Linked DNA regions of Elephas maximus indicus. The protein of the gene in region 1 purifies or fractionates together with the protein of each later gene. This does not show direct contact. Links are inferred from orthologs where the notes say so. Each region holds a gene or a part of one and is shown on either strand. Other genes may lie near its edges.

Region 1 (10,270 bases):
AGAGTGTACTGGCGACTTGGCACAGATTCAACACCCTGCAAGAAAATTCAAGGAGCACATCTGAGTTAGACATGCTACGGACATCATTCCAAAATTGGGGAGTCCAGTTTCTAATCTCTGTTCTTTTGCGTATGAGGGTGTGGACTTCCCTGTTCCCCATCTTACCTCTCTCCTTATCAGCTGAGAGCTGAGCCTAATTAATATTCATGTGCTAGCTAATTTAATACCTGTGTTCAGTTGCCCTGGGAATGGACAGGAAATTTCAGTAATAAAACTGGGCACTTTGAGAGAGGATAAGTCTGATGGAGATGGTGCTTGGCTCCAGGCTGAGGCTGCAGGAAGAGGGCAGAGCCGGCTTTGATCAGCTGGTACTAGTCTGCAATAATGCTCTTTATATATGAAAGATCCAATAAGCACTGACTCCTTTTCAGTCTGAGAGGAGGGTGACCATTATATTCATTTGACTTTGACACCGTTTGTGGATCATGAAAGTGATAAATACCTGGTAATGTTTTCCTAGGTGTAAACCAAAGCACAGAATTATATTTATATGCCATTCTGCACTTTATAGAATGCCATAAGCTTTCTTTTACCTCTCTTTCTACCTAGGCAAGAGGTAAGTTATGAGAACACTGAGACAATCTAAACCCAAGTTTCACGAGTTTCTGATTTCTTGTGAAATCTTACACTTCTGTCATTCTGATTCTACTGATTTGCGAGCTGATGAAAAGTTTCAACCCTTTGTTGTCACTTGCACTACAGCTGGTAACAAAATAGTTAGAGGTGCGATGCACTTAAAACGTGTTTAACAGACAAAAAGCAAGCAGGTATTCAAGTAAGTTAATCACCTGCCTCTCTTGCAAGGTGACCTTGGACAGGATATTCTCTCTGGACTTCCCAAGCAAAATACAGGAAGTTGTATGATGGCTTATATTTTTCTTTAGAACTTATGTGCCTGGCACTTGGCCGTACTATTTTCATGGGTTGTCTAATATAGTCTTCACAATAGCCCATTTTATTAATGAGGAAAATGAGGCTCAGAGATGGGCACCTGCTAACAAATATCATCAGGACAGCCCCGTTGCTGGAACAATGCCCTCAGTTACTGCCAGTATTGTAGGTGGGATCTTTTCCAGCTCTATAAAATGTGAATCTAGTATATTTCTCTTTGCCAAAATAATTTAAGTGAGAGGGTCCTGCAACAGCTCAAACCAAGGGAATGAAAGCAAGTGACAGTGGAGAAAACTTCCAGCTACAGGCCAAGCAGCATGCTGCCCCCCCAACCCCAAGCCCGAGACTGGAGTTTCCTATTGCTCTTGCAACAGCCTCCCACGCGCCAGGCTGGGAGGCTGGTGTGTACAGCGTGAGAAGCTACTTTCCGAAAGGGTTACGTAGCTGGCTGTAGGGAGCACTCCCACACCTCCACCTTCACCTGAGGATCAAATGACTCTCAGACTAGGAGCCCGTGCCCTCGGTAAGGAACTATGTATGAGCTTCAGGAGAAAGATGTGGCAGTCTGCTTCTGTGAACCTTTACAGCTTTGTAAACCCTATGGGGAAACCCTGGTGGCATAGTGGTTAAAAGCTATGCCTGCTAATCAAAGGGTCAGCAGTTTGAATCCACCAGGCGCTCCCTGAAAACTCTACGGAGCCGTTCTACTCTATCCTATAGGGTCACTATGGGTTGGAATTGACTCAATGGCAATGGGTTTGGTTTTTTTTTTTGCCTTCTGTAAACGCACAACCCAAAGGAAGTCATCAGGGCAACTCTGTAAAAATCTGTTTAATAAATATACATCTTATAAGTACCAAAATAATTACCAACAAAATACACTATGTACATCATTTACAGGAGGGAGGGCAACACGAACCTTGACAAGCAGCAGTTCAAGGTTTCAATCCCACACTGCCCAAAGTTTAACAACACACCTGGCTGTTACACGTCACAGAATACAACTGGGGTCAGCCACGAAATCCATGGTGGTTCAGTCAAAAATACAATAAATAAAATGTGGTCCTTTTATCAAGTTTTGGATAACCCTCTCCAAAAAATCCCTACAAAGGTGAGGCTTCCTTTGGATTCCACTGATCTTTCTTGTCCCACACACAGAATTCACACAAATTACAAAATGAGGGCTGACCCGTCACAGGAATATGTTTTGAGCCAGGCAGTATGCAGTGTGGCTATCAGTATGCCCTTTACATTTTTTTTTTTCTTTTTTTTTTTTTAGAAAAATAAAACTCTCTTTTTGTACAAATATACAAGTCCATGTTTCTTTAGACACTTTCTGTTCATAACGTCAGGCGCTGGCCTCCAAGCACACAGTCATCATAGGGCAGCTAAAAACAAGAGGAAAAATGGCATGTTAAACTTTGAGAGCTTCATCAAGGACACTGGGATGATGCAGAGAGGTCCCCCTATTGGAAATAACTCAAGTATCCTTGGACTCCATTCTCTATAACCCCAATATAAATTAACTTTACGGGCTCCTTTCCTTATAAAAGGGTAAGCTGTATCGAAAAAGATTGCTCCTGGGATACTGGCCACGAATACTAAGTTTGAGAACTTTACTATGTTGAGACCCTTATGATAAAGAGTAGCTCTTGGGACACAAGAGGGTGAAAGAAGAATAACTATTCTCAGTTTCTGCAGACTGTTGGAGGTTGAAGAAGTTCAGTCAAGACTCACCTCATCCTCTGTGAACTCTGACTCCGTGTCATAGCTCTCCTCATCTTCACTCTCTGGCAGCCTCTGCAGGTTTTCCGGGGTCAGCTGGCCCAGCTGTTGCTGTATCCGGGTGCTTGGGCGGCCCCAGGTGAGCTGGTATGGAGAGTAGCCCTGGTAGGTAACTCTGTTGACATCAGCCCCACACTTCAGTAAGAGTGACACCAGGTCAGGATTCTGCAGGTCCACTGCAAGGTGGAGGGCGGTCCGGCCGTTACAGGGCTCCTGAAACCAAAAGGAATTCAAGATGCTTATGGCTGAGTTTGGATTTCTGCTTGCAACAAGTCTTATTCAGGGTGCTGGTGGCTGGTTCACTCCACCTGGAGGCATGAAGCACTCACCTGAGCATTGACGTCAGCACCCAGGGACACCAAATGCTCCACAATGGCCAGATAGCCATGGATAGAGGCCAAGTGCAGACATGTGTGACCTAGAAGAACAAACAGAAAAAATATGACCACTTGTTTCAATCCTTACACCTCAAGTAGAGTCTTTCACCTATTCTTTTAAGGGACAAACAGGCATGTCTTCTGAATCTGGGTTCTGAATGAACCTTATTTATAAACGCATCATATAGGCAATTTTTCATACATATTTTCTCAGCCTTTCCCATGTTGGAAGTTGAAGCTCTTGCCTGGGCTCCTTAAGTGGGTGAACTGTTGTTGTCTGCCCACCTCCCCCGCTCCACGTCACCTGCCCTCTGGTGGGGCGGGGTGGCCCACTCACCATTGTAGTTGGTGGCCTGCAGGATGGAGTGGAGGTGCTGGGTTGGACGGGTCTGTGTCAGAACTCCTACACTGGCCAGGCAGCCCTGCTCACAGGCAAGGTGTAGGGGGGTATTTCCTCGAAAGTCTCGGAGCTCAGGATCACAGCCAGCTCCCAGAAGAACCTGAGCAATTTCTGGCTGGTTGGTGATCACAGCCAAGTGAAGTGGAGTCTACAAGCAGAAGAAAGAACAGAAAGAGGATAAGCCATGAACCAAACGTGCAATCTGGGCTCCCTTGGACCCCAGACATCTCCTGGTTTGGGCACTGCTCCAGGGGGTGAGGAAAGACCAGAGGCCCTAGGTGGGCCATAAAAGCCTCACCAAATCAATGGGGTTTTCTTTACCCTGTTGGATGCTCATTGGTTTAACTGTAAAAGGCTAGGGCAGATAATGACTGATGACTTAATTTAGAAAGGATTTGGGGGCAACTGTGCCAGAGCCACTTTGTTAATCCAGCTCCACCACAGGGTCAGAAAGGGCACAGGGCTGGCAAGCCGCGCACCTGCTGCAGGTTGTTCTGGAAGTTGAGGAAGGCTAGGTCTCCCTTCACTTGGCGGATCACTTCCATCGTCAGTGCCTTCTCTTCATGGATGATGGCCAAGTGCAGGAACCTGAGGGGAAGAGAGGGAAAAACCCCCAGGGGTGGTGAGTGCACTGCGTGGGGCCCAGGGAGGCGCGGGCTGCGGGGGATTGCGCAAGGCCGGGGTTTCTGTAGGCCGAGGCCGCGGTGTTTTCCGCGAGGTTATTATGAGCTGAGTGTTCCTGGCAGGCGCCCAGGGACTTTCCGGGCCCCCCCTCCCTACTCGGCGGGCGCCGGCCAGACCGCCCCGCCCTCCCGCCAGGCCGGAACGCCCTGTACTTCCCCTCCCGGCCGCGCGGCGCCCGCCAGCGGGACAGAAACTCCCGCCCCCCCTTATGCAACTGGGGACTTCGCCTCCTCACCGCCGCCCCGCCCCCGGCCGGGAGGACCCAGACCCGGCTAGGGGTGTGTGTGGAACTGCCGCTGTAGAGCAGAGCTGCTGAACCGCGGCCCCCAGGGTCTGAGCCCGAATCCCCCGTACCCTGCACGCGCAGACGTGCAGCCTTGCAAGGTTTCAGGGACTGTGCATAATCCCGGGCTCACGGCCGTGCGCTGGCCCTGCTGCACCGCGGGCGCTGGCGGCTCAGGCTGCAGGCCCGGCGCCCCCCCCCGCCCCGCGGCCCCGCGCGTCCAGCGTCCCCCCACCCACCCCGCCGCCTAGCCCCTCGACACTTACGAGTCTCCGTCCTCCGTAAGCTGCTGCTTCCAGGGCTCGGCTCCGCGCGGCGCCTCCTGCGGCTCCAGGCGGATCTCGCGCAGTTCCTTCACCATCTGCTCGTACTCCTCGTCCTTCATGGAGTCCAGGCCGCTGTCGTGGCGGTCGTCCAGCAGCCGCTCCTTCTTGAGCCCGTCCCGAGGGCCGTCCATGGCCCACTCCTGGGGGTGCTCGGCAGGCTGAAACATGGCGCGGTGAAAGCTTCAGACGTTGCTCCCCAGGTGCGCTCGGCCGCGGGCTGCGCGCTTCCTTGTAGTGTCGCTCGCGGGCAGGTCGGCGGGTTAGGACTGTTGTGGGCTCGGCAGCGCCGCCGCGGCGCCCTATAAACGCTGGCCCGGGATTTCTCCGGGGCGGGGTCAAGAGCGGGGAATTTCCAAGCTAGTCAGACCAGAAATGAGAACTGGCCTCGTCCTCTGCTAGGGGGAAAAAGAAGCCTAAACCCTGTGCCGGGGTTCAACAGAGAAACTCCCTGCGATGAGCCACTAGGGTCATGTACAGGGAACTTTTTGATGAGCGCTGAGTGGCTGGAAAGTCCTCCCGACCAAGCCCCCTCCCCCAGGTACTTCCCTGCAGCCAGCACTCAGTAATCCCGGCCCTCTGCAAAAAAAACCTTCTTTCCTTGGGGTTTCCCTCGATCAGCTTGATTTGGGGTCGTCTGAGATCCCAAGGACGCAGACCAGCTGGACGGTTCCTCGTTGGGGTTTGCCAGTCTGCCGGTCCTTTCCGTTTTTTGATCTTTTGAAAACGCAAGAGTGGAAATGATGGCTGGGTATAGGGATTCATTTCCCCAAACTTCTCTCTGCAGGGAAGGTTCTCTTGTCGCTGGCCCCTCTGGGATTCTGCCAATAGTAGGCTCTTTGCAATGCAGGGACATTTAGCTTTCCCAGGTAGAAGTTGTGAAAACTTTGGTGTTAAAAGCCTAAATGCGTGGAGAACCCTCAGATCGTTTCCTCGGGATTAACAGTCTTGTTGACTGGGAAAGTGCTTGCCCCAATAAGTGGGAAAGTGTTAAATATGATCAGAATTATTTCAGGTAGAGCAAGGCGTTAATCTTCATAGCTATCTTGCAATAACGAAGTAACTATTGAGGTCTCTCTCTCTGATTTGCATTGTGTTGCTGCAGAAAATGGACCCGAAAACCTGCTTCTGGGTGCCAGCTGGGTGATTTTCCAGGAGCATTTGGAGAAGGATGCTGAAGAATGGGTTCAACGGTGTCTTACCCAAGATTAGGCCTTAAGGATGGCTAAGAAAGTAACGGTTATGCATCCTGCAGAAGGCCCTAAGACAGCCCTAACACTGCCCCATCCTGCCCCTGCTGGCTCGTACTTGCTGCCCTTGCGCTGAGGGAGGGCAGTGGTTGTACCCATCCACCTTAGTCACTCTAGAGATAAAGGGGTTTGTGCTCAGCATTCATCGATTTCATCTGCAGAAATAGAATTTATGCTTGCTGCCCCCACCCTCACCTCCTAATCAGCAAGCTATGAATTGAATTCATCTACTGCTTTAATTGGATGGAAACCCTGGTGGCGTAATGGTTAAGTGCTATGGCTGCTGACCAAAAGGTCGGCAGTTCGAATCCAACAGGTGATCCTTAGAGTCTCTGTGGGGCAGTTCTACTCTGTCCTATAGGGTTAGAATCCACTTGACGGCAGTGGGTTAATGGGTACTGCTAGAATTGACCCATGCAAAATAAAGCAACTTAGATCAGAGTTCTTCAGATTTAGCGCCAGGAGGCCTCTAGTTTTGCAGAGTTTTCTGGTGATTATTTCAATTATCTTTACCTTCACTGGCTGTGTACTGACCAACCATTCTCCTCTCCCCATCGCCACCTCCCCCATATCTGAATGTGGGGAGTCAGGGTCAATGGGGTGAGAGACTAAGTATGAGGGGGGAAAAAACCCTGAACTAAAATCGTGAAATAAAAGCTTTAAGGTAGCAATTACAACATGTTAAGGTGAAAACTGCATTGTCTGCAGGCATATAATATGCAAATTTGCGATTATTGAGGCATATTACAGGGAGTGTAAGTAGATCTCAGTGCCAGGCTCTGCCTCTAGTTAACTGCATATTGAAATCAGTTAACTCTTCTGTGGTATACTCACTTGGAAAATAGTAAGACTGAATTTAATGTTACTTAAGGTCTTTTCCAGCTTAAAAATTGTATTACTTTGCCACAAACGCATGTCTAACCCTGTTTTGTAAGGGTGACCATGGCTCTTGGAAATATCAAAGTATACATTTTTGGAAGGACTCCAACACTTTATGCATCACATTGTTAGTTCTCAAAACTAGTCTGTAAGATAGACATTGTTCCTAATTTCCTAAAAAGAAACTGAAATGCAGAGTAATTTACCCAGGTGTCCAACGGCAATTTATCAAATTTTTATGCCATTATGTTAACCATTTGGCCAAAGCAGTCATAGTATTGACACTTTGTGCAAACACATTGTGGAAACAGGACTGAATACACTACGATTGGAAGGTACTCCACGTGTTTTCTACTCTGTCAGGTAAAAAACAGAGAGTAGGTGTTATTTCTGTCTGGGGATATTTACTCCTTTAAAAAAGTGCATAGCAATGTTGAACTCTAAATACTCCATTTATAAAGAATACCTTAGTGGAGGATTTTTTTTTTAATTGTGCTTTAAGTGAAAGTTTACAAATCACGTTGGACTCTCATACAAAAATTTATAAACACCTTGCTGTATACTCCTAATTGCTCTCCCCGTAATGAGACAGCACACTCCTTCCCTGTTTTTTTTTTTTTAATTTTTATTGTACTTTAAGTGAAAGTTTACAAATCAAGTCAGTCTCTCACACAAAAACTTATATACACCTTGCTACATACTCCCAATTACCCTCCCCCCCCCCCTTTTTTTTTTAATGAGACAGCCTGCTCTCTCCCTCCACTCTCTCTTTTCATGTCCATTTTGCTAGCTTCGTCGCTATGAGTCGGAATCGACTCGACGGCACTGGGTTTAGTTTTTTGGTTTGCTAACCCCCTCTACCCTCTCATCTCCCCTCCAGGCAGGAGACCTCCTCTATTTCTTTTTGTGTCCATTCGGCCAGGTTCTGACCCTCTCTACCCTTTCATCTCACCTTCAGATAGGAGATGCCAACATAGTCTCGTGTGTCTACTTGATCCAAGAAAGCTCATTCTTCACCAGTATCATTTTCTATCCCATGGTCCAGTCCAATCCCTGCCTGAAGAGTTAGCTTTAGGAATGGTTCCTGTCTTGGGCTAACAGAAGGTCTGGGGATCATGACTTCCGGGGTCCTAGTCTCAGTCAGATGATTAAGTCTGGTCTCTCTTATGAGAATTTGGGTCTGCATCCCACTGCTCTCCTGCTCCCTGGGGAGTTCTCTGTTGTGTTCCCTGTCAGAGCAGTCATCTGTTGTAGCCAGACACCATCTAGTTCTCTGGTCTCAGGCTGATGTAGTCTCTGGTTTATGTGGCCCTTTCTGTCTCTTGGGCTCATAATCACGCCGTGTCTTTGGTGTTCTTCATTCTCCTCTGCTCCCAGTGGGTTGAGACCAATTGATGCATCTTAGATGGCCACTTGCTGGCATCGAAGACCCCAGATGTTAGTGGAGGATTTTTAACTGCAGGTTTAAAAATGATTATTAGAATGAAAATCATGCCTAAGTGAAAATTTTCTCAGGAATAATAGGTTCTCAAAAACCAAACTCATTGCTGTCGAGTTGATTCCGACTCAGTGACCCTATAACGTGATGCGGGTGGTGGTTGTGTGCTGTCAAATCAATTCCATGTACTAGACTAAATTTCTTTGCACCTCCTTCAGGACCGGTGGTTTTTATTCCTGATTGTTTAGAGTGACACCTAGTGGTAAGAGTTAGGCCCAGGAGTTTCCTGATTTGTCGCAGCACTTTTTTACATTTTAGGAGGTACTGGGCCCTGATGACCTGTCTTTACAGTAGGGATTCACAGAAGGTACCTTTTGTTTTCCTGCAGCTCTAGGAAACAGTTTTGAATAATATGATCCAACAGGTTTTCTCCGTATCACAAATCAACAAACATTACAACCTGGAGGAAAAAAGAACACTCTTGGAAATCAGAAAGCATGAGCAGGGGCAGGGGAAGATTAGATTATTTCTCCCCACCTCAATGTCAAACATTTCAGCTAAACTTGACCATTTTAAAGATGTTAAAACCTTAGACAACTAAGTTATAATTTCATTCCCCCCCCCCCTTTTTTAATGCAGAAGGCAAAATAATATATTACACCCTGAAGTTGCTTTGTATTTTAGCCCTGGATGAAGCCGGAAGGAATAACAGGGTGGCAGTGATGCTCCCTGGGCCTCACTGTGAGCAGGAAGGAGCACTCCGGTGGGAAATGAGCACCATTCTGAGCCTCATTGTAGGCAGGAAGGAGCATTTCGATGGGAAAGGAACACACTCTCCTGGGCCTCACTGTGGGCAGGAAAGAGCACTCCAGTGGGAAAGGAGGACCATCCTGAGCCTCACTGTGGGCAGGAAAGAGCACTCCAGTGGGAAAGGAGCAGCATCCCTTCGTGGGCTCTTCCCTTGATGGGAAATGCAGTGGGGACTGAACCCACTGCCCCAAGTGCCTGGTGGCCTGGCATGGTGGAGAGCTTCTGTAAGTTCAGTCAGGTGGTCCTACGTCCTGGACTTTTCTTAACATCATGGGCAGGGTGGTCTGTGCCAATTGCCCGGGCCAATTAAACCTAAATTGTTTTGGTCCCAGCAAATTGAATTGCTGAATTCCGCTTTCTACCACTCAGGGCAGCCAGGCTGGGAGGGAGGAGCCATGGCAGAGTCTCTGAGGGGCAAGCCAGGCAGGAAAACTCCTAATGAGCACTTCAGCTCCATTTTGAAATGCCGAATTGGTATTCTGGTGCCAACCTCATGCTTAGTCCTATTTTTTCTTAGTGTGATTATCAAGCGCCTACATTCCTCTCAGAACCTACAGCACCCAAACTATGGACGTTTCCCCACAGAAAAACAGCTGTCAGGACTTTCATTCAGAGTGAAGATAAGACTGACAAAGGCTGACTGTACTCCCCTTGCTAGAGGTTGTGCAGTTTAACGGAAATTCAATCTTTAAGGGATCTCAATTTCCAACATCTTCCCACCCTTAGGAGCCAGGCAGGTTTCATAGATGAGTGAAGAGACCACGTGAGTCCAAGGGAGTGGTGGTCTCTCTCACAACCTAGACCACGGAGTGCACATCCCTCATGCTCAGCTCAGGTAATTTTTGCTATGCAGGACTTTGAGCTCAGGACTGATATTCCATCATTAAAGAAAAAAAAAATCAGGAAAAAGAATTTTCATGTGAAATTTTCCAATTTTTAAAACATTGTGAAGACCAAAGGAAAAAAAAAAATGCAGTTTTAAAAATCTTTTGGCCAGTTAAAGCCCGCAGGCCCCGAGTTTACAACCTCTTTTTCAGCCAAGGCATGACATCGTAATGGTGCTTTGGGAGAGGGCGCCTACCTTCAGCTC
Region 2 (10,293 bases), on another chromosome or scaffold:
CTCTGTTTTTCCCGAATCTCACATGTAGGAGCTCCATTCCAAGTCTTACTTGCAGCATCTCTACTGATGACCCCTGCATCCGACGCTCCACATCTGAGATGAGCTCGCTCAGTTCCTGGTCCTGCTGGATCAGCTGGTATTTAGCTGCTGCCAGGCTATCCAGAACTTTCACGTCTTCTTCCTCCAGCTTGTGCAGCTCCCTCTTCTTCTCATTGTCCAGGATGGCATGCAAGTCATTAAAACCTGCCAGAATCCTTTGTCTCTCAGCCTGTGTCTGATGCTTTGGAAACAGGGAAGAGAAAGAGGCAGTCAGTTGTCAGTTTGGTTGAGGATCTACTTTGCAAGGTGCTGGGAGCCAGGATAAGAACTATTTTCTTCAGGGAGTTCTCACAAGGAGGGGAGGTGAAAGCCACAGAGCAATTCCAGGGGAAGCTGTTTGTTTCTACAATTTTTTCTTGACCTCGTTCCAAAACAATATCCTCGAGCCTGCTTTATTAAGGTACACTGAGAGCCAAAATGTAATACTTTGATGAGGCTTGAATTGCAGATACCTGTCCGGGACACTCATGCCTATCTATGCATTAAAACACTCTTCCCCAACCCCCATGTTTAATCCCAAAGCTGGGAACCTGGACCTTTGCCCAACATCTTTCCTGCACATATCAGAGCCTCAAACCTGATGAAGGAATGGGACAGAAGATTCATAAGCCATTTTCACAATTGTTTCCCTCATAGTCTTCATCTCCAAATATTTTATTTCACTTGTGATATGTCCACTCTCCAGCCCCCTACCTCCAACAGGGGAGGAATGAAGGACTAATCAAATAGCTTCTGTACTCATTAATTCTAAACGAGCAAAAAGGAAGGAGCCTCTTGTGACTAGAACCCAAGTTGCTGCCCAGATTCATGTCTCAGAACTCCCTCAGGAAGCGTTTCCTCTTACCTTCCAAGAAGCTCTCTCTTCTGTAATCTGAGCTTCCAAATTCTTGGCTTCCAGCTGCTCCTTCCTCAGCCTTATGAGAGTCTCCTGGAGCTTCTCCTGTGAGAACAGAATCACACCACTGCTTTCTCAGCACCTGAACAGAGGATACATTGGTGCAGAAATCAGGCTGATCTCAGAAGAGACCAGAGTTTACAGAAACTGTGAGACTGGCCATTAGAATCTATGACTCAGACAAAAATCTGAGGAGGTGAATGTGTTCTTTATTCCTGAGTAGTGGAAGTCACTATCTCCTCATCGAGAGTAGCCCTGATTCTCCACTGAGTTTATGTTAATGGTGGTGGGATGACTTGGAAAAGGATAGCAAGACCGGTGGCACAACTTAAAGAATGTAATCGCTGTCATTGAATTATACATGAAGAAATTGCTGAGATGGCATGTTTTGTTGTGTATATTTTCAGTTATTTTAAAAAAAAAAAGAGTAATCTGATTCTCTTTTGTCCTAGAGGAAGAATTAATCCTGCAGCAAGGAAAATCCTTTCTTCTCATTGACTTTCTTCCCCACATCTGACCAACCATGTCCTCTAGTAGTTCTTCTGCTCAGAAAGGCAAGAAGAATTTATTTTGGGAAGCAATTCTCTACTCATTCAACAAAAGGAAAACAAAACAAAGCAAAACAAGTTTCTCTTCTCTTGGCTAAGTGTCTGCAGTCTAGGCTAATCTTTTATGTAAATAGAAGACATGCACAGAAATGTCCTCCAGGCCTTGATTAGAGTATGGGAAGCTATCACAGGACTTAATTCTATGGTGAAAAAGTGAGGAAAGAAGAAAGTGGAGATTTCTGAGTGCTACCTTCTTCCCTGTCTTTCTCTACCCTGAGCCGTACCTGACATTTCTTGGCCATCTCCTCCACAAGGAGCGTTTGGTGACCACAGTGCTCCTGAGACCTCACACAAAGCCAGCAGATGGCCTTCTCATCATTTTTACAGAACAACAGAAGTTTTTCTCCATGGTACACACAGAGACCACTTGTTTGCCCCTCCTGTGGGCTCAACTTGGCCTCCCTGAATCTCTTCACTATGTTGGCCAGATGATGATTAGGCCATAGATTCCCAGGCTGGTAGCTGGCATGGCACACAGGACAGCTTTTTTCCCCTCCTGGCCTGATGGTCAGTGACTCCTCATTCTTCGCAGTGATGCAGGCTTGACAAAAGCTATGCCCACAGCCTAGGCTCAGGGGTTCCGTGAGGAGCTCCAGGCAGATGGGGCAGGTCACCTCCTTCTGTATGTCTGCCCGGACTGAAGCCATTTCGCTGCTTTCCTAGCCTCTGCCAGTCCTGGCTCCTGAGTCTCTTCTTGCTCACAAACACCTGCAGGGCTGGGAATGTAAAAGTGGGCACTGTAAGGAATGTAGGGATTAAAAGGATACTGATTGTACAGAGATTTAGGACAGGACAAAATAATATAATGAAGAAACATAAAGAGACAAGAAGAGTAGGACAGTGACAGAATGAAAGGGCTTCTTCTAATAATTTCAAACACTTTACTCTCAGTTTATGTCACATGACAAATTCCACCCTTATCAGGGCAATGATTGCTATTTTCTCTTCCACTGGACAGAAGGGCAAACTGAGGCCCTACAGATCAGGAGCCTTGTGTAACCCACTTGCCTTTTCTTCCTGATCTCAAAACACTGGTTTTATGTTATATACACTAAACCCACCACTACCCCCCGCTCCTTTTGCACTTGCTCTTCTCTCTGCAGGAAGTGATTCAACCCCTGATATGCGTATGATTCATTTTTTTTTTTAAGAGCTTTACTGAATTGTAATTCACATCCCATCCAATGGACTTATTTTAAATGTACAATTCAATTAGTAAATTTATGGAGCTGCATAACCATCACCACAATCCAAAGGTAGAATGTTTCTATCACCAGACACAAAACTGGTGCCAATTAGCAGTTCACTCCCCATTCTGACCTCTGGCCCCAGACAATCATTAATTTCCTTTGCATCTTTATAGATTTAAATTTTATAGAATTTTTGATCAATTCATAAAAATAGAATCATAATATGTGGTCTTTTGCATCTGCTTTCTTTCACTTAGCCTACTGTTTCTGAGGCTCATCCAGCCTGTCTTTCTTTCCTACACCAAAAAACCATGCTCAGGGTTAAAAGCACCAAACCCACAGCTGCCTGTAGGTTTTTGCACTTAGCTTTTCTCTCTTCATGGAATGATCCACCACCCAATACTTGCACAACTCATGTTTATACTTCATTCAACTTTCTCCTCACACGACCTGTGGTGGCTAACTTACACCCACAACCAACCACCACTCATTATACATTTGCCATCGTCCACCACTCATTATACATTTGCCATCGTCCTCTTACTTTCACTATGTAACATATGACACCTTTGGTTCAAGTTGTGCCCCCTCCCCTTAAAAACTTAATCCACTCATAGACCAGGCACTTTAGTTTGCTGGGAAGAGATTTTCTGCTGGCCTCTGACAAAAAAGACTATTCTGGCTCCCTTTGGCTTGGAAAGAAAAGGAAGGAGATGGGTGTGGTTTCAGCCTGGAAAATAATGGTCCCTACAATTTTTTACAAGGAGCCCTTGGTGGCACAGTGATTAAGAAGTATGGGTTGCTTACCAAAAATTTGACAGTTTGAATCTACCAGCTGCTGCTTGGAAACCCTATAGAGCAGTTCTACTCTGTCGTGTAGGGTCACTATGAGTCAGAACTGACTCAATGGCAATGGGAACAGGAAAAAAACAAGCCCCTTTGCTTTTCCAAACCCGTCTTCATTAAAGGCTGCCCATCCCCCAGATTCGACCCCTGCAGGAAGCCAGCAAACTGGCTCTATTTTTTCAATTCAGAGCAGCTTCCAGACCCTAAATCAAGCTCAGCCAAGCATAATCAACCCTTTTCCCTTGAAGTCTCCCAATCTCTGCCCCTACAAACTACCTCACACACCTTCAGGTTCAAGCAGAAAAGCTGTGACTCCATGTGGAAGAATGGAGGCAGGTCAGGGACAGGATGGTCTAGATTTACTCACCAAACCAGGGGCTTAATGCTCACAAAGTAGAGAAATGAAAGTTAAATTATCGAAAACAGGAAGCTGAAGTGAAACTTTAGAGGGAAGCCACTCCCCAGGGGCCTGAAGGAGGGGTTAGACTTTAACACTTTCTGGTACATGGGCAGCTAGGAGCCCAGCTACTACATTTTTTATTCCTATCCGAGCTGTGGGGAAAACCTGGTGGCATAGTGGTTAAGTGCTACAGCTGCTAACCAAAGGGTCGGCAGTTTGAATCCACCAGGAGTTCCTTGGAAACCCTATGGGGCAGTTCTACTCAGTCCTATAGGGTCGCTATGAGTCGGAGTTGACTCTATGGCACTGGGCTTTATCCTAGCTGTACTCTGGCAAAAATATTTGAATAAGAAAAATGTAAATCACAATTATATCATCCCCACAGTTTGCCTGAGAACTCAGAATGTGAATTATTTGTATTCTTAGATATTCTGTATTCAGGCTGTGCAAGTCACTAAGGGTAAAATATTGATCCAGAAAGGCTTGGCACCTGACCACTTATAACACAGTCTCCCGGAGGAGAGAATCAATTAAAAAAAAAAAAAAACTAGGCTATAATATCTATGAATTTTACAAGTCCATCTGTTAATTAACAAGTTTCTGTTCCTTATTTTGGCAGGTTGGAAGAGGAAGCATTTCATAGACTACTAGAGGTTCAATTTAATCTTTGTCATGCAAGCCAGCAACTCATAATGCAGGTAAGGACATAGCAGTTAATAGACGGTGCTATTTAAGTGTAATTTTTCACTGAGTCACACTCACATGTACAAGGCTTTTTTTTTTTTCTTTTCATCCTTAGGAAAAAGTTTGATATGTACACCATCATTCAAAAAATAGAAGTGAATCACTTTACATTGTTTGCACATGTTTTTGTGCCCTGAGTCTACCTTGCTCTTGCTCTGACTGCATACGCCAATGGTGCAGCTACAAGATGGAAGAGGCTCCATAACACGGGTCTCTGACTGACAGGGTGGGACCAGGAATCCTCCCACTTTAACTGACATGAGAGCGATAGAAGGTACTGAGAAATCAATTTTTATAATATTAAAGCATTATAATATTTTGGTATTGTTTATTACCCACAGAAAAACCAGCTAATCCTAGCTTAAAGAATTTTTTGACTCATATCTATGAGTCAGGAACTTATAACCATATTGGAATAATTGCTATAGTTTTATTTTGTATAGGTGAGGTTCATTCTACCAGTTAAGAAACTCATGTTGTTCAAGTGTAGTGATCTTCATCTCAATGTTGTTCAAACTGTTTTTGTTGTTATTGTTGTACTTTAGATGAAGTTTACCGAGAAAATTAGTTTCTCATTAAACAATTAATACACATATTGATTTATGACATTGGTTGCCAACCCTACGATGTGTCCACACTTGCCCCTCTTGACCCTGGGTCCCCCATTACCACATTTCCTGTCCCCTCCTGCCTTCTAGTCCTTGCCCCTGGGCTGGTGTGCCATTTTGGTATTGTTTTATTTTATGAGCCTGTCTAATCTTTGAATGAAGGGTGAACCTCAGAAGTGACTTCATTACTGAGCTAAAAGGGTGTCTGGGGGCCATACTTTAGGGGTTTCTCCAGTCTCTGTCAGGCCAGTGAGTCTGGTCTTTTTTGGGGGCAGGGGCAGGGAGTTAGAATTTTGTTCTACATTTTTCTCCAGCTGTGTCCGGGACCCTGTATTGTGATCCCTGTCAGAGTAGTCAGTGGTGGTAGGGTAGACAAGCACCATCTAGTTTTGTTGGACTCAGTCTAGTGGAGGCTGTGGTGCTTGTGGTCCATTAGTCCTTTGGACTAATCTTTCCCTTGTGTCTTTGGTTTTCTTCTAGAATATAGAACATTTTCTTCATAAACTGTGTTATGCCAATTGAGCTAGATGTTCCCTGAGACCATTAAACCCAAAATTATAGCTGGAGCAAAACATAAACCCAAATTAAAAAAATGTTTTTCTGAATCTCATCCAAAATAAAAAAACCATTATTTTCTTAGCTCTGCTATTTTTCATTCAACAATAATTTTTAAGTTGTAAACAAGACCATTGGACCATTTGTTTGATTTGCATCTGGCACCCATGTATGCCGAATGTTTCTCTGGCATATGGCTGGTAAGGGCACAGTTCATTGATTCAGCAAGCAACGTTGTGCAGTTGCAGCTATAGGCGATGACTGCTGCTACCCAGGATATGATTCACAGGACAGTCAGAGCTCACGGTTTCCACTCCGTGCTTGACCCCTCTCACAGTAATGCAAGCTGTGCCTACCAAGAATGTGAGAAACACTCAGCAGTTGAGAACACTTGCAGTTAGAAATCTGAAGAAGCTGGTTAAACTGCATCGAGTTCTGAACAGAGTTTCATTTGAATGGAAGTTTGCCAAGTGAGCAAACATTTAAATACACATTATTCACATTTTTTAAGTGTGATATTTAAATTCAAGAAATAAAAAATCTCCATCATTGATGGTTCTAACAGGGATCACAATAGAGGGTCCCAGACAGAGTTGGGGAAAAATGTAGAACAAAATTCTAACATACAAAAAAAAAAAAAAAAGAAGACCAGGCTTACTGGTCTGACAGAGACTAGAGAAATCCTGAGAGTATGGCCCCTGTACACCCTTTTAGCTCAGTAATGAAGTCGCTCCTGAGGTTCACCCTTCAGCCAAACGTTAGACAGGCCCCTAAACCAAAGCAAGACTAAAGGTGCACACCAGCCCAGGGGCAAGGACAAGAAGGCAGGAGGGAACAGGAAAGCTGGTAATAGGGAACCCAAGGTCCAGAAGGGAGAGTTTTTGACATGCAATGGGGTTGTTAACCAATATCACAAAATAATATGTGAGCTCTTTAATGAGAAGCTATTTTGTTCTGTAAATCTTCATCTAAAGTAAAATAAAAAAAGAAAAAAATGGTGCATAATTTTTTGATGATTCCATTCTCTTTCTTTTTTAATTGTGCTTTAAGCAAAAGTCTACAATTCACATCAATTTCTCATACAAAAACCTACACACACATGGCTATGTGGCCCTAGTTGCTCTTCCTATAATGTGACAGCACATTCCTCCTCTCCACCCTGTATTTCCCGTGTCCATTTAACCAGCTTCTGTCGCCCTCTTCCTTCTCATCTTGCCTCCGGACAGGAGCTGCCCACATAGTCTCATATATCTACTTGAGCTAAGAAGCACACTCCTCACCAGTGTCATTTTATGTCTTACAGTCCAGTCTAATCTTTGAAGATTGGCTTTGGGAATGGTTTTAGTTTTGGGCTAACAGAGAGTCCTGGGGCCATGTCCTCTGGGGTCCCTCCAATCTCAGTCAGACCATTAAGTCTGGTCTTTTGACTAGAATTTGAGGTTTGCATCCCACTTTTCTCCTGCACCATCAGGGACTCTCTATTATGTTTCCTGTCAGGGCAGTTATTGGTGGTAGCCAGGCACCATCTAGTTCTTCCGGTCTCAGGCTGATGGAGTCTCTGTAGTTTATATGGCCCTTTCTGTCTCTTGGGCTCATATTTTCCTTGTCTCTTTAATGTTCTTCATTCTCCTTTGCTCCAGGTGGGTTGGGAGCAATTGATGTATCTTAGACGGCTGCTTGCTAGCTTTTAAGATCCCAGACACCACTCACCGAAGTCAGATGCAGAACATTTTTCTTAATAAACTTTGTTATGCCTATTGGCCTAAATGTCACCTGAAACCGTGGTCCCCAGACCCCTGCCCCTGCCACTCTGTCCGTCAAAGTGTTTGGTTATATTCAAGAAACTTCTTAGCTTCTGGTTTAGTCCAGTTGTGCTGACCTCTCCTGTATTGTGAGTTGTCCTCCCCTTCACCTAAAATAATTCTTGTCTACTACCTAGTTAGTGGGAAACCCTGGTGGTGTAGAGGTTAATTGCTGCAGCTGCTAACCAAATCCAGTTCAAATGCAGTTCAAATCCACCAGGCACTCCTTGGAAACTCTGTGGAGCAGCTCCACTCTGCCCTATAGGATCGCTATGAGTCGGAATCAAGTTGACAGAGATGGGTTATGAGTTATCTAGTTAGTGAATACTCCTCACCCTCCCTCCCTACCCTTGTAACCATCAAAGAATGTTTTCTTTTGTGTTTAAACTTTTTCTTGAGTTCTTATAATAGTGGTCTCATACAATATTTGTCCTTTTGTGACTAACTTCATTTGCGTAATGCCTTCCAGATTCATCCATGTTATGAGCCGTTTCAGAGATTCATCGTTGTTCTTTATGCTTGCATAGTATTACATTGTGTGAATATAGCATGATTTGTTTATGATGATTCCATTCTTGTATTAAATTTTGATTTAAATGTACTATTGCATATTCTTTGTCCATACAGGTTTAAATTTGGTATTTATATCACAAATCGAAATGTTAACAAGTATCAGTAAATGGTGGAAGGGAAATTAATGTTTCAATTGTGACATGCCATTATTTCACTGAAAGCAATTTGATGGCATCACTATGAAATAAGATTTTTCTTCAAAAGGTGTGGAATAAATTTACAAGTATGTTGTAAAGCGGGGCTTCCAATAAAATAAATCAGCACACCCAAAATTAGTAGTGATCTGGAAAAATGAACATTCTCTTTGAAGGTGGATGTTGCCAGTAGATTGAGTTGGTTAATTCTAGGAATTAATGCTCAGTTTGCACAAGATAGTAAGATACATCTGTTGAGACACTGGGAAAGAATTAAAAGACACAGAGCTCTGTACCTAAAAAACACACTGTATCAAATTTTTAGAGAAGTACATTGATTTACAACAGATTTATTCTGTAATCACGGATAATAGCTCTAATATGATTGAATTTGTTGATTTGCTCAGAAATGATAGTGAAATCAAATGGCAAATTTCAGGCAAAAATGAGTTTCAAAGATTCTGACTTTGTACACTTTGACTTGCAGACATTAACCACTGTAGAGTGAAGTGAAAGCAACACGGTTTATAAGATTATAGTATGGTATTATGGTATAAAGTGTGATGAACACACACTTTGCTTAGTTATTAAATAAGCAATGGAAGATGCTGAGCTGGAAGAATTTTTAAGAGTAGGCTGCAAACTCATTTGGATAATGCATATTCCGACATTGCCTACCAAATTTTCAAAAAATAAGTTAAAGAAACCTGTACCGGATCGCCCAACAAGATGCAACGGTATGAACCCCGTGTTAGAAATATTACCAGGATGCAATATTTTTTGCAATATATTATTGTTAGGTGCTGTAGAATTGGTTCCGACTCATAGCAACCCTATGTACAACAGAAGGAAACAATGCCTGGTCCTGCACCATCCTCACAATTGTTATTATGCTTGAACCCATTGTGGCAGCCACTCTGTCAATCCATCTTGTTAAAGGTCTTCCTCTTTTTTTGCTGACTCTCTACTTTACCAAGCATGGTATCCTTCTCCAGGGACTAGTTCCTCTTGATAACATGTCCAAAGTATATGAGACGTAGTTTTGCCATTCTTATTTCTAAGGAGCATTCTGGTTGTACTTCTTCCAAAGCAGATTTGTTCATTCTTTTGGCAGTCCATGGTATACTCAATATTCTTTGCCAACACCATAATTCAAAGGCATCAGTAATTCTTCGATCTCCCTTATTCTTCAAAGTGTTAGCTGAGAATAATATGAAATATTACTTTTCTAATGATGAGTGGGCATAAGAAATTAATTTTGGAAATTTTAAAACCTTTAAAGAAAAAGATTGCAAAGTGAACAATTAACTGTGAGGGATGTTTTTGGCATGTGGGTGGAAACTAAGCTAAAATTAAGAACTCCTAATAATACATTTGGAAACACATTGACAAATTTAATGTCAAGGAAAAAGTTATTGAAAATGACACCACATTAGGAGCAGATTATCGAGATTCTTGTTATCAAATTCTAATTAGTTCTGAACTTAAGGTAAAGGCCATATTACATTTAAAAAGCATTTAGGAAATGATAGAAAATCTGAAAAGGAGCAATACTGAAAGTGTAATAAATGAAAGCAATTCAGGAAATGCTCTCTTTTCAAACGATGGTGTTGATGATAGAATTATTCACAAAATTAAAGAAAAAACTTAAATTGAGATCAGGCTTTTTTTTTTTTTTAATTGTACTTTAGACGAAGGTTTGCGGAACAAACTAGCTTCTTATTAAACAACTGGTACGCATATTGTTTTGTGACACTGGTTGTAACCCCACGACATGTCAACACTCTCCCCTTCTCGACCTTTGGTTCCCTGTTACCAGCTTTCCTGTTCTCTCCTGCC

What was found.
Region 2: the proteins of NFKBIA (region 1) and E3 ubiquitin-protein ligase TRIM22-like purify together in Homo sapiens (affinity purification with western blotting; 3 studies listed by BioGRID). This does not show direct contact. The link is inferred for Elephas maximus indicus from reciprocal best matches to the Homo sapiens genes NFKBIA and TRIM22.

The regions. Positions count from the first base shown.
Region 1 is NC_064828.1:47,724,545-47,734,814, forward strand, and holds NFKBIA (NF-kappa-B inhibitor alpha), read right to left. Parts: upstream 5,099-10,270; 5' UTR 4,974-5,098; coding exon 4,747-4,973; intron 4,102-4,746; coding exon 3,993-4,101; intron 3,662-3,992; coding exon 3,451-3,661; intron 3,155-3,450; coding exon 3,066-3,154; intron 2,950-3,065; coding exon 2,689-2,949; intron 2,340-2,688; coding exon 2,292-2,339; 3' UTR 1,765-2,291; downstream 1-1,764. UniProt on the Homo sapiens protein: Inhibits the activity of dimeric NF-kappa-B/REL complexes by trapping REL (RELA/p65 and NFKB1/p50) dimers in the cytoplasm by masking their nuclear localization signals.
Region 2 is NC_064825.1:57,934,276-57,944,568, reverse strand, and holds the start of E3 ubiquitin-protein ligase TRIM22-like, read right to left. Parts: upstream 4,112-10,293; 5' UTR 4,006-4,111; exon of another isoform or gene 3,924-4,005; intron 2,319-3,923; 5' UTR 2,250-2,318; coding exon 1,827-2,249; intron 1,040-1,826; coding exon 944-1,039; intron 281-943; coding exon 50-280; intron 1-49. UniProt on the Homo sapiens protein: Interferon-induced E3 ubiquitin ligase that plays important roles in innate and adaptive immunity.